2 linked regions of the Schizosaccharomyces pombe genome follow. The protein of the gene in region 1 interacts with the protein of each later gene in a biochemical or structural test. Each region holds a gene or a part of one and is shown on either strand. Other genes may lie near its edges.

Region 1 (4,275 bases):
AATTAAAAACTTTTTGTTTATTATTTCTCACTTTTGTTTTTCTAGTAACTTGACAACTTGCTTCTCCCATATCGATGGAGCATGGTTGTGTACAATTGTAAAACGCGTTTCAAAGCTTTATGTAAAGCTCTCCCTTCAGCTAGATACATCTACACCTACTTTAGAAGATTCTTTTGATGGTAATGGGTTCATACAGAGGAAATACGTGAGCGATGCATCTAGGAACGTCTTACGAACGTTCAATAGTATACTGAGTGATCGTCAACAAAACATTAACCCTTCGAAGAAGGATGCGATATTCTGTATTGCCAATTTACTTTGTTTACTATATTTTCGCTTAAAGCAAATTCGTCTTTGCCAAACTATTCAAGCTAATGTCATCTCTTCGGGTGCCGATATTTCTCGCGCTACAATGGCGGAATTAGTAACGTTTCGTTATTATTTAGGAAGGTGTCATCTTTATCAACGCAAAATTCATCAGGCAAAGGACCATCTACTTTTTTCGTTTCTTCAGTGCCCTGATGAGTGTTATCATCAAAAAAGGTATGTTTTATTTTACTCAAAAATAGGATTCGTTTATATTTACTAATCAAAAAAGGCTTTCTCTAATCTATCTTACAACGTGTTTACTTATATTAGGAAAATCGCCAACAAAAGGGCTATTAGAAAAATACAAATTGACTGCAGCATTCGAACCTTTAATAAAAGCTTTGAAAAGTGGTGATATCAAGTCGTTCAGATTATCTTTGGAGGACAATTCCAGGAGGAAATGGTTTATCAAACGAGGAATATATCTAACTTTATTGGATAGATGTGAAATCATCCTGTGGAGGAATTTATTTAGAAAGGTGTACGTTTGAGATTTTTTAAAATATTCGACTAATTTAAAAAGGTTTCTTTTTACTTTTGAGCAAAGCCAAAAAACCCCGCACGTATCTGGTTCTTACTTGTTAACCGCGGCCCGTTTAAGTACAAATGATAACTCATATGACATGGACGATGTCGAATGTATCTGTGTTTCTCTAATTGACCAAGGATATATTAAAGGTTATATCATTCATGCATCATCAACTTTAGTCCTTAAAAAAGACCCATCGTTCGGTTTTTCTGTAATAGAGAGCCTTATGCCCATAGCAAGGAATGATCACGCAGAAAAGGAATTTTTTCATGCTAACGCATAATTAAATGAACTCAGAAAACGTAGATTGTTCGAAAATTATACTTAAAATTAATTAAATTTGAATTGACAAATGTTAAGCAAGGAACAGTGTTCAATCATCTTGCTTTGCGAAGTCTGAAAGCTAAATAAATACAGTCTAAACGGCAAAGCGTAATTTTATTCATTTTTAAAACAAAAGGGTATTTGGTCAAAGCAAAAAACTCTATAATTAGAAAAGTAAAATACCAGATATCACTTGACAAATAACACAATTTAGAATCAAAAATCTTCTTCCATTTCTGGATCAAAAAGATCAAATCCTGCAAAGACATCCTTATTAGCTGGCGATTCTACTTCTTTATTTTCCTCTTGCGTAGTGAATGTTGGAGAGGCAGGATAATTCATTTTAGTTTTTTCTTCAACGGCTTTGTTCGCATCAATTTCTGTTTCTGTTTCCGTTGGCTCGTTCGTCTTTGGAGGCTGTTCAGAAAATAATTGGGACGCTGTAGCCGATAAATTTGGAACCATGCTAGTTGAAAACTGAAACAACAGAGTTTTTCGCATCTGGTCCTCCGATGGCCAAGGATAATGCACAGGAGCTTTTGCATCTTGACCCGTCTCGGGATTGTACCCAGGAGGTGCAGAGGAAAACTTGGAAAGTTTTCTACCATAATCAAGGAGTGTTTCAGCATTAACTTTTTGTCGTTTTCTCCCCGACACTGTTTTTGGAAGATGGGTATCATAAATTGAGGTCATTTCTCTCATGCAGTCTTGAATTTGTAAATCCAGTTCCTTATCCTGCTTCAGCAAAGAACTAATTTCATTTTGTAATTCTCTACCATTTGTGTAATTTGATATTAAAGAGTGTAAGGTTTTCAAGTGGCCTACTAATGAGGTCCAGTTTTCTATTAGTACATATTGGTCAACCTTTTCGGATGACAGTCTTAACTGTTTATTGAGACATTCTTCAATAGAATCAATGGCTCTTTGATATTCCATTGGGGAGCATATGTGATTACTATATACTAACTACTCAACAATTGCTCGATCATCTAGTAGGTCAGGTTACAGTTATTTTGCAGACTCGACTTTTTACTCCTTAAACATCCGTAACCGTTAGTTAAACAGACATCCTTAAAAGGTTTAATGTGCTAAAACACGGTAAATTACAGTAATGTCCTCCTCCACAAGGGCAATAAGTAGCAGCTGGTATATACGCTCGACGAACAATACTTAAGTTACTCTCGATTAAATAGAATTAGTCAATTTAATTCTGTATATGATTTTAATTGTTTAAATTGTCTAACAAATTTCACTAATTTGGGCAAGAAGAAAGCTATTATTCGTATAAATTAGTCGACAAACTACGTTACATTTACAGTGTAACAATTTTGATCTTGTTAGGGACAACATAATGAATACATACTAGTGAATTAGATATCTCATTAAATTAAAAAAGCGAGTTCGTTAAAGAATGCTTAATGAGCTTATTTCGTTTAATGCGTATAAAGCCTATATCAGATCAGAAAATGTGTAATATTACTTTACCAAGAAATCGCTCAATTTAAATGTAATTTTTATAAAAGTATTTTAAACATATGTCACCTGTGGCTGAGTGAAAACCTATTCTGTCGATTTGCTTTTCCGAGACTAACTCAAAGTGGTCCGTCTATGTGGCTCAATACTGACTTATAAGAGTAGAGCAGAAAATACATTTCATATAAGTAAACTGAAGATACTTGATAATTGAAAATTCAATTGGACAACTTTAAAAAGATTTCTCGGTCAACTTTCTCCAAAGTACAGCTACTGTTAATATAGAGTTCGAAAAAATATGCAATATTGAACGTAAACTATTAAGCTAAATATTAATTTAGTAGGAACTTGCTACCAAAATATTAATATCACATAACTAAAAGATTTCGAAAACAACAATATATATTAAAAACTAATGTCTAAAGATAATGCCAAACAAACAAAGACTGAATGGATAGTAGATAGCAGCACGTTAAATGATAGTAGATGATAAATGCAAGGACAGGACATGACAACGATGTGTGAGATATAAATTAGTGTTATACAGCTAGAATAGATAAAATTTTTTTTTAACTTTGATATGGCTTTGCTTAACCGCAGTAAGAGCTATATTGTCTATCAGTGAAAGGTTGAGGGAATACGCCGTATTCAATAAGTAATCCCATATCCCAAGTAGGACTTGGTCCACCAGTTTTAGCAGTCCAGTAAATCCAACCAGCACCGCGTTCAAATTGATCTAACTGAGTTTCGATAAACAGACGAACAGCTCCCTTATATTCATCCGTCCAAGTGGAAATATCACCGCTGTTTGGTCCAATAAATGTCGAAGAGTCAACTCCTTCTTCGAAAATCGTGCAGTCTGCTAAAGTTCCGGACCATTCGCCAGTAACAGTAATGTAGGGAGAGGAAGCAATGGAATCACCAATGGAGCAAACATCTGAAAGATGATCATCGAGAGTCTTTGAGCACTCATCCGACTCGTAAAGTTGATAACGATGGACATCCATAACAAGATTGTATGAAGAAGGAGATACAACACCATAATCCCAAATAGAAAGATCAACATAGGCATCGTGAATGATAGTAGCAACAGAGCTGGAAAGAGGATTGACGATATTATAGGCATCTAAATCGTATTGCTTAAGTTGATCCATATCCAGACCATAGCCCAAAGGCTCATTTACCGTCTCAATTCCAATAACCACGCTGGCATATTGAGATTGGGTATACTTATTAGCAACATAGGTAATAATGTCAAGAGTACGAGTTACAGTGTCATTTTGCTGCCATCCAATGGAACCAGTCTTACCAGAGTTTTCAAATCCATTTTGGCTGCCTGGAACACCATGCAAGTCAATCCAAACCTTAAGGCCATATTGTTCAGCCCAAGTAAGAGCTTGATCGAGCCAGTACTCTTGCCCTTGAACATATGGTTCGCCGTCTACCACATTAAAGGCCCAATACCCAATAGGAATACGCAAAACATTAACACCCCAAGAAGCTATAGTAGCGAAATCAGATTCAGTGTAGAATGAGCTATAATGAGCAGCTAATTGAGAGGCAGCTTCATCTGCACCAAG
Region 2 (4,427 bases), 1.7 Mb from region 1:
ACCTACCGCATAACTAATAAATAACATCAGCAATGTTTTAAGAACACCAGCTTCTCCAATAATCCAAGGAAATCTCAAATAAAGAAGGATGGAGAGTACGTTTAAAGTAGTTGGAATGAAACAACCTTCAAACGTTCCCAATTTCACCGCTTCATTTGGTTGTTCATTCTCAGCAAACGTTACACTTCTAGACAACGGAGGTAATTCATTAAAACTATTACTACGATAACTTTGTTGTGGTTCTTGTAATAAAGGTGTGGAAGACTCTAAATTTTCCTGTGTTTCCCAAAATCGTCTGGATTTTCGTACTGATAATCTATCTGCCAAAAAATCAAATACTTGACTTGATTTAGTTAAAAGTCTTGCCATAATCACAAAAAATTATCCCCATTAAATATAAAATAAGGAAGGCAATAATTTTGTGGTAGGAACTGTCAAGGTTATTAAATACTAAAAAAATTGGAAATGGTAAGGAAGAGTGAGTGTAGTCATGTAATAGAAACAGGGGTCCCATAGATATAGTAAAACCATCAGCAGTGATATAAGAAAAATTTTTTGACAATACTTTGCAACAGATTACTATCAATTCATGAAAGTTCATTACCAGCTTGCTTGAAAACATCGATGCTCGAATACACTTACCTCAGTTAAAAATAGGACTACTGAACACTATGAGTGAAACGTTTTGTAGAAAGGGAGAAATTTTACTCAAATAAATGGCCATAAATCGAAAATCAATGATATCATAAAATGTTTACAATTACAATTGCAATTTGGGGACTAAACGGAAAAAATAAAGAAATATCTAAATATTAGTAATATAAGTAGTGTAAATTAAGGCCAATTACATTTCCACGTATTATAATGCCAATATTCACTTCATCAAAATCACTTCTTTGGAGATGCACTACGAAAACTTTGAAACACGTTTTTTTCTTTTGATTCACCTTTGGCCTTACTAGGAAAAGTAGGAAAAAATTTAGGATCCTTGGGTCTGGGAGATTCGTAAAAATAAGGATGTTCTAGTGCTTCTTTGGCAGATATTCTCTTCGCAGGATTTAGACTTAAAAGTCGATTTAATAAATCGTACGCGTTTCCCGTTAAATTAGGGATAGAAGTACGAATCTTAGAGTGGGTAGGGACCGTAGGGTGTTTAATTTTGTTTGCATAAGGAAGAAGAAAATATTGGGGCCACTCTTCCCTAGTCGGATAACCGAGCAAATTGAATATCTTAATATTATTGTTAGGAATTTTTTAAGGTAAGAATAAAAAATCAAAAATCGCATACCTTGTATAATTGATCTAACTCACTTTTCCCAGAAAACAAAGGAGTCCTAGTAATCATTTCAGCGAAGATACATCCAATGCTCCACATGTCAATTTCTTTACCATAGCTTGGTGCACCAAGCAAAAGTTCAGGAGCACGATACCAAAGAGTCACAACTAAGCGTGTCAAAGAGGATTTGGGTTCTGATACTGGCCTTGCCAATCCAAAGTCGGCGAGTTTGATTTCGCCGGTGTTATTCATTAGCAAGTTAGAAGGCTTTAAATCTCTATGTAGATACCAATGGTGATGCATAAATGCCGTGGCAGCCAAAAGTTGAAGCATCAGTGTTTTGACTTCAGATTGTAAGAAATCTTCGGGCATGTTATCAAGTAATGTTTTGAGATCATGTTCCATGAACTCCATAACTAGGTAAACATCCTTCAAATCTTTACCAACAACCACTTTTTCCAATTCTACAATATTATCATGTCGAATGCTGGATAGTGATTCAATTTCTCGCAGACTAGTAATAGGGAATCCAATTCCATTAGGGTCAAACTTAATCTTTTTGAGTGCAACCAGGGTATTCGTACTTTTGTCAAGACCTCGATAAACGATTCCGTAAGATCCCTCCTCAATTTTTTCCAATATTTCATAATCATCAATAGAATTGCAAGACTTAAGTTCAGGTGTATTCCCCATCAAGTAGAGCCTGCAAGCATCAATGTTTCTTTCTTCAGCTTTCTCTTCTTCCTCTAATATTTTTCTTTTTCTTTTTTTTTCTAACCGTCGCTTTTTACGCCATTCCTCTTCTAATTTTTGATTTTCAATTGCGAATTGATTCGTTTCTTCTGTCTCCCACTTGGAGCCTGCCATAATGGTGTCTAATCACTCAAATTTTATCAAGTAAATTTATCGTTAGATTTGCAAAACTATCTACTTCAAATAAGGATTTATTTTTCGGTGCTTGTTTGTTCTCAATTAAAATGACATTGCTCGATAACCACTGTGGGATTTCTAACTGAATATTAGCAGAAAAGTAAAATGATCAAAACTCCTATTTTTTTTTCAGCAAGCCGTTTCGACATGTGATATTTAAAAAAGTAAGAAGTGACCTGCGTAAGTGCAGTCGCACAGTGCATAGTGAGAGATTTTCAAAACACTAAAAAAGAAGAAGCAACCTTGAATTAAATAATCTTTAATTGTTTAATTTTGAACACTCAAAAAACACAATCCATCATATGGCGGCGGCCCTACTCACCTAACTCGTTCGTTCAATCTACCATTTTGATATTCCTACAATACCGAACAAGGAATTTCCACTACACCTAATCGACTAAGCAATTACACGACAGCACTATAGAAACTATAAGTACTATTAAAATCTCTAAATACATTTCTACAGTCGCTTTCTCGTACACTGAACTTTTGTTTCATATATGTCAATACCGAAGAATTATGAATAAGGGTTTACGAAAACACCAACGGTTGGCTCGTACACAGTATCAAACAATATTTATGATAAATCAATTGTATAGATACATAATGGAAAAAAGCCAAACAGCCAAACACATTTTAACGGTAAGACTTTTGTTGACGAGCACGGGCACCATGACCACCGAACTAAAAAAAATCATTAGTAACACATTCTAAAAAAAAGAAACAAATGTTATGTCGTATCGAGAGATACAGTATCATTAACATTCTGTACACGGAACAAGTTCGACAACACAATAAATCGTGCAAGAAATCGATTCCGAAGATGTCATGAACTTCTCTTCGTTTAGCACATACCTTCTTGGGCTCCATACGACGAGGATCAGCAACCAACAAAGTACGGTCATAAGTAATGAGAGCCTTCTTAAGCTCAGCCTTGGAGTGTTCATCAACGAACTTTTGGTAGTAAGCAACGATGGCCTTGGAGATGGCTTGACGAATGGCATAGATTTGAGAAACATGACCACCACCAGAGACACGGACACGAATGTCAACACCGGCAAACTTATCGGCACCAGCGACCAAGATAGGCTCGTAGACCTTCATGCGCAAAATTTCGGGTTGAACAAGAGAGAGAGGGGCACCGTTGACCTTGATCAAGCCCTTGCCGACCTTACAGTGGGCGACTGCTGTGGCATTGCCTTTCTTTCCAAAGCACTGAACAGACTGCATGTTGGCTCGTGGATAGTTTTACTGGGTTGTAGTCCTGAAAGCCAAAAAAGTTTCGGCATGGTTCCTGTTTGCAAAAACAGTCACACTGAATTAGCAAAAGTTATTTTGTTACGATAAAATATATTATACGAAGCACTAAACTAATAACGTAATGTAACGCACGATCTGCATAACGATCTGTGATAAAGTTCGAGGTGAAAAGTAGAATTCTACAGAATGCAGAACGCGTGAGGTATTCTTTAGCATTAAGTGTTAATGTAGAGACAGAAAGTATTGAAATTTTCGTAAGTCTATGAGAATTTACTGCTGGGTTGCTTTGTTACAAATTGAACTGTGAGGGAACGGGGAAATATTCTGTATGAAAACCGAAATGACACGAAATTGAGCATAACAGATTGCTTTCTTCATACTATATTTCCTTCCTAATGTCCGAACAAACAAGGCAAAATGATTAAAGTGCTGTGATTTGTGATACACCAAATTTTTGGTTTAGCTCACTGGACATTATTCAATAAGAATTATTAATCACAATTTATTTAATTAAGAACATGCAGTGAAATATAAGATTACGAATGGTTTTCAACGGTGTTTATAAATTTGTTTACATGTGAAAAGATTTAGAAAAAATGCAAATTAAACAAGCATCGAATTATGTCTGTGCATTTAAAAGGGCTATTCAATACACTTTTATATGAAAAATCTACCGTTGCAACAAATTATAATCTTGAGAACAAAGCTCTCCTTATACACCGATGACACTCCGTGATCGGACGAAAGAGTGAATTGATGAAGGACATATATCCCTTTCTAATTGGCAAAAATGATAGCTTTAAAATAGTCCAATTAAAACTCTGTAATATTATTGTAGACTTAAAGAGCATATGTCAATTCTTTAAAGGAACACAACTTGCAATTTCATTACACCAACACAGTGGCTCACAGGATACAAGACATGAAGTTCTAAATATTCAAACAATACAAATATACACAA

Evidence for each region.
Region 2: of the proteins of pmc4 (region 1) and cdk11, one has a biochemical effect on the other in vitro, tested with the Schizosaccharomyces pombe proteins (one study listed by BioGRID).

The regions. Positions count from the first base shown.
Region 1 is NC_003423.3:3,515,372-3,519,646, reverse strand, and holds pmc4 (mediator complex subunit Med4), read right to left. Parts: upstream 2,187-4,275; 5' UTR 2,159-2,186; coding exon 1,439-2,158; 3' UTR 1,182-1,438; coding exon of another isoform or gene 893-1,181; 3' UTR 851-892; coding exon of another isoform or gene 599-850; 3' UTR 558-598; downstream 1-557. Other genes in the region: TREX/TREX2 complex subunit Pci2, read left to right, coding at 46-543, 599-850, 893-1,181; cell wall glucan 1,6-beta-glucosidase Exg1, read right to left, coding at 3,286-4,275. UniProt on the Schizosaccharomyces pombe protein: Component of the Mediator complex, a coactivator involved in the regulated transcription of nearly all RNA polymerase II-dependent genes.
Region 2 is NC_003423.3:1,792,956-1,797,382, reverse strand, and holds cdk11 (Cdk11-cyclinL compex kinase subunit Cdk11), read right to left. Parts: upstream 2,403-4,427; 5' UTR 2,144-2,402; coding exon 1,289-2,143; intron 1,244-1,288; exon of another isoform or gene 1,231-1,243; coding exon 889-1,230; 3' UTR 704-888; downstream 1-703. Other genes in the region: vacuolar membrane cation-chloride cotransporter Vhc1, read right to left, coding at 1-369; rps1601 (40S ribosomal protein uS9), read right to left, coding at 2,843-2,890, 3,062-3,436.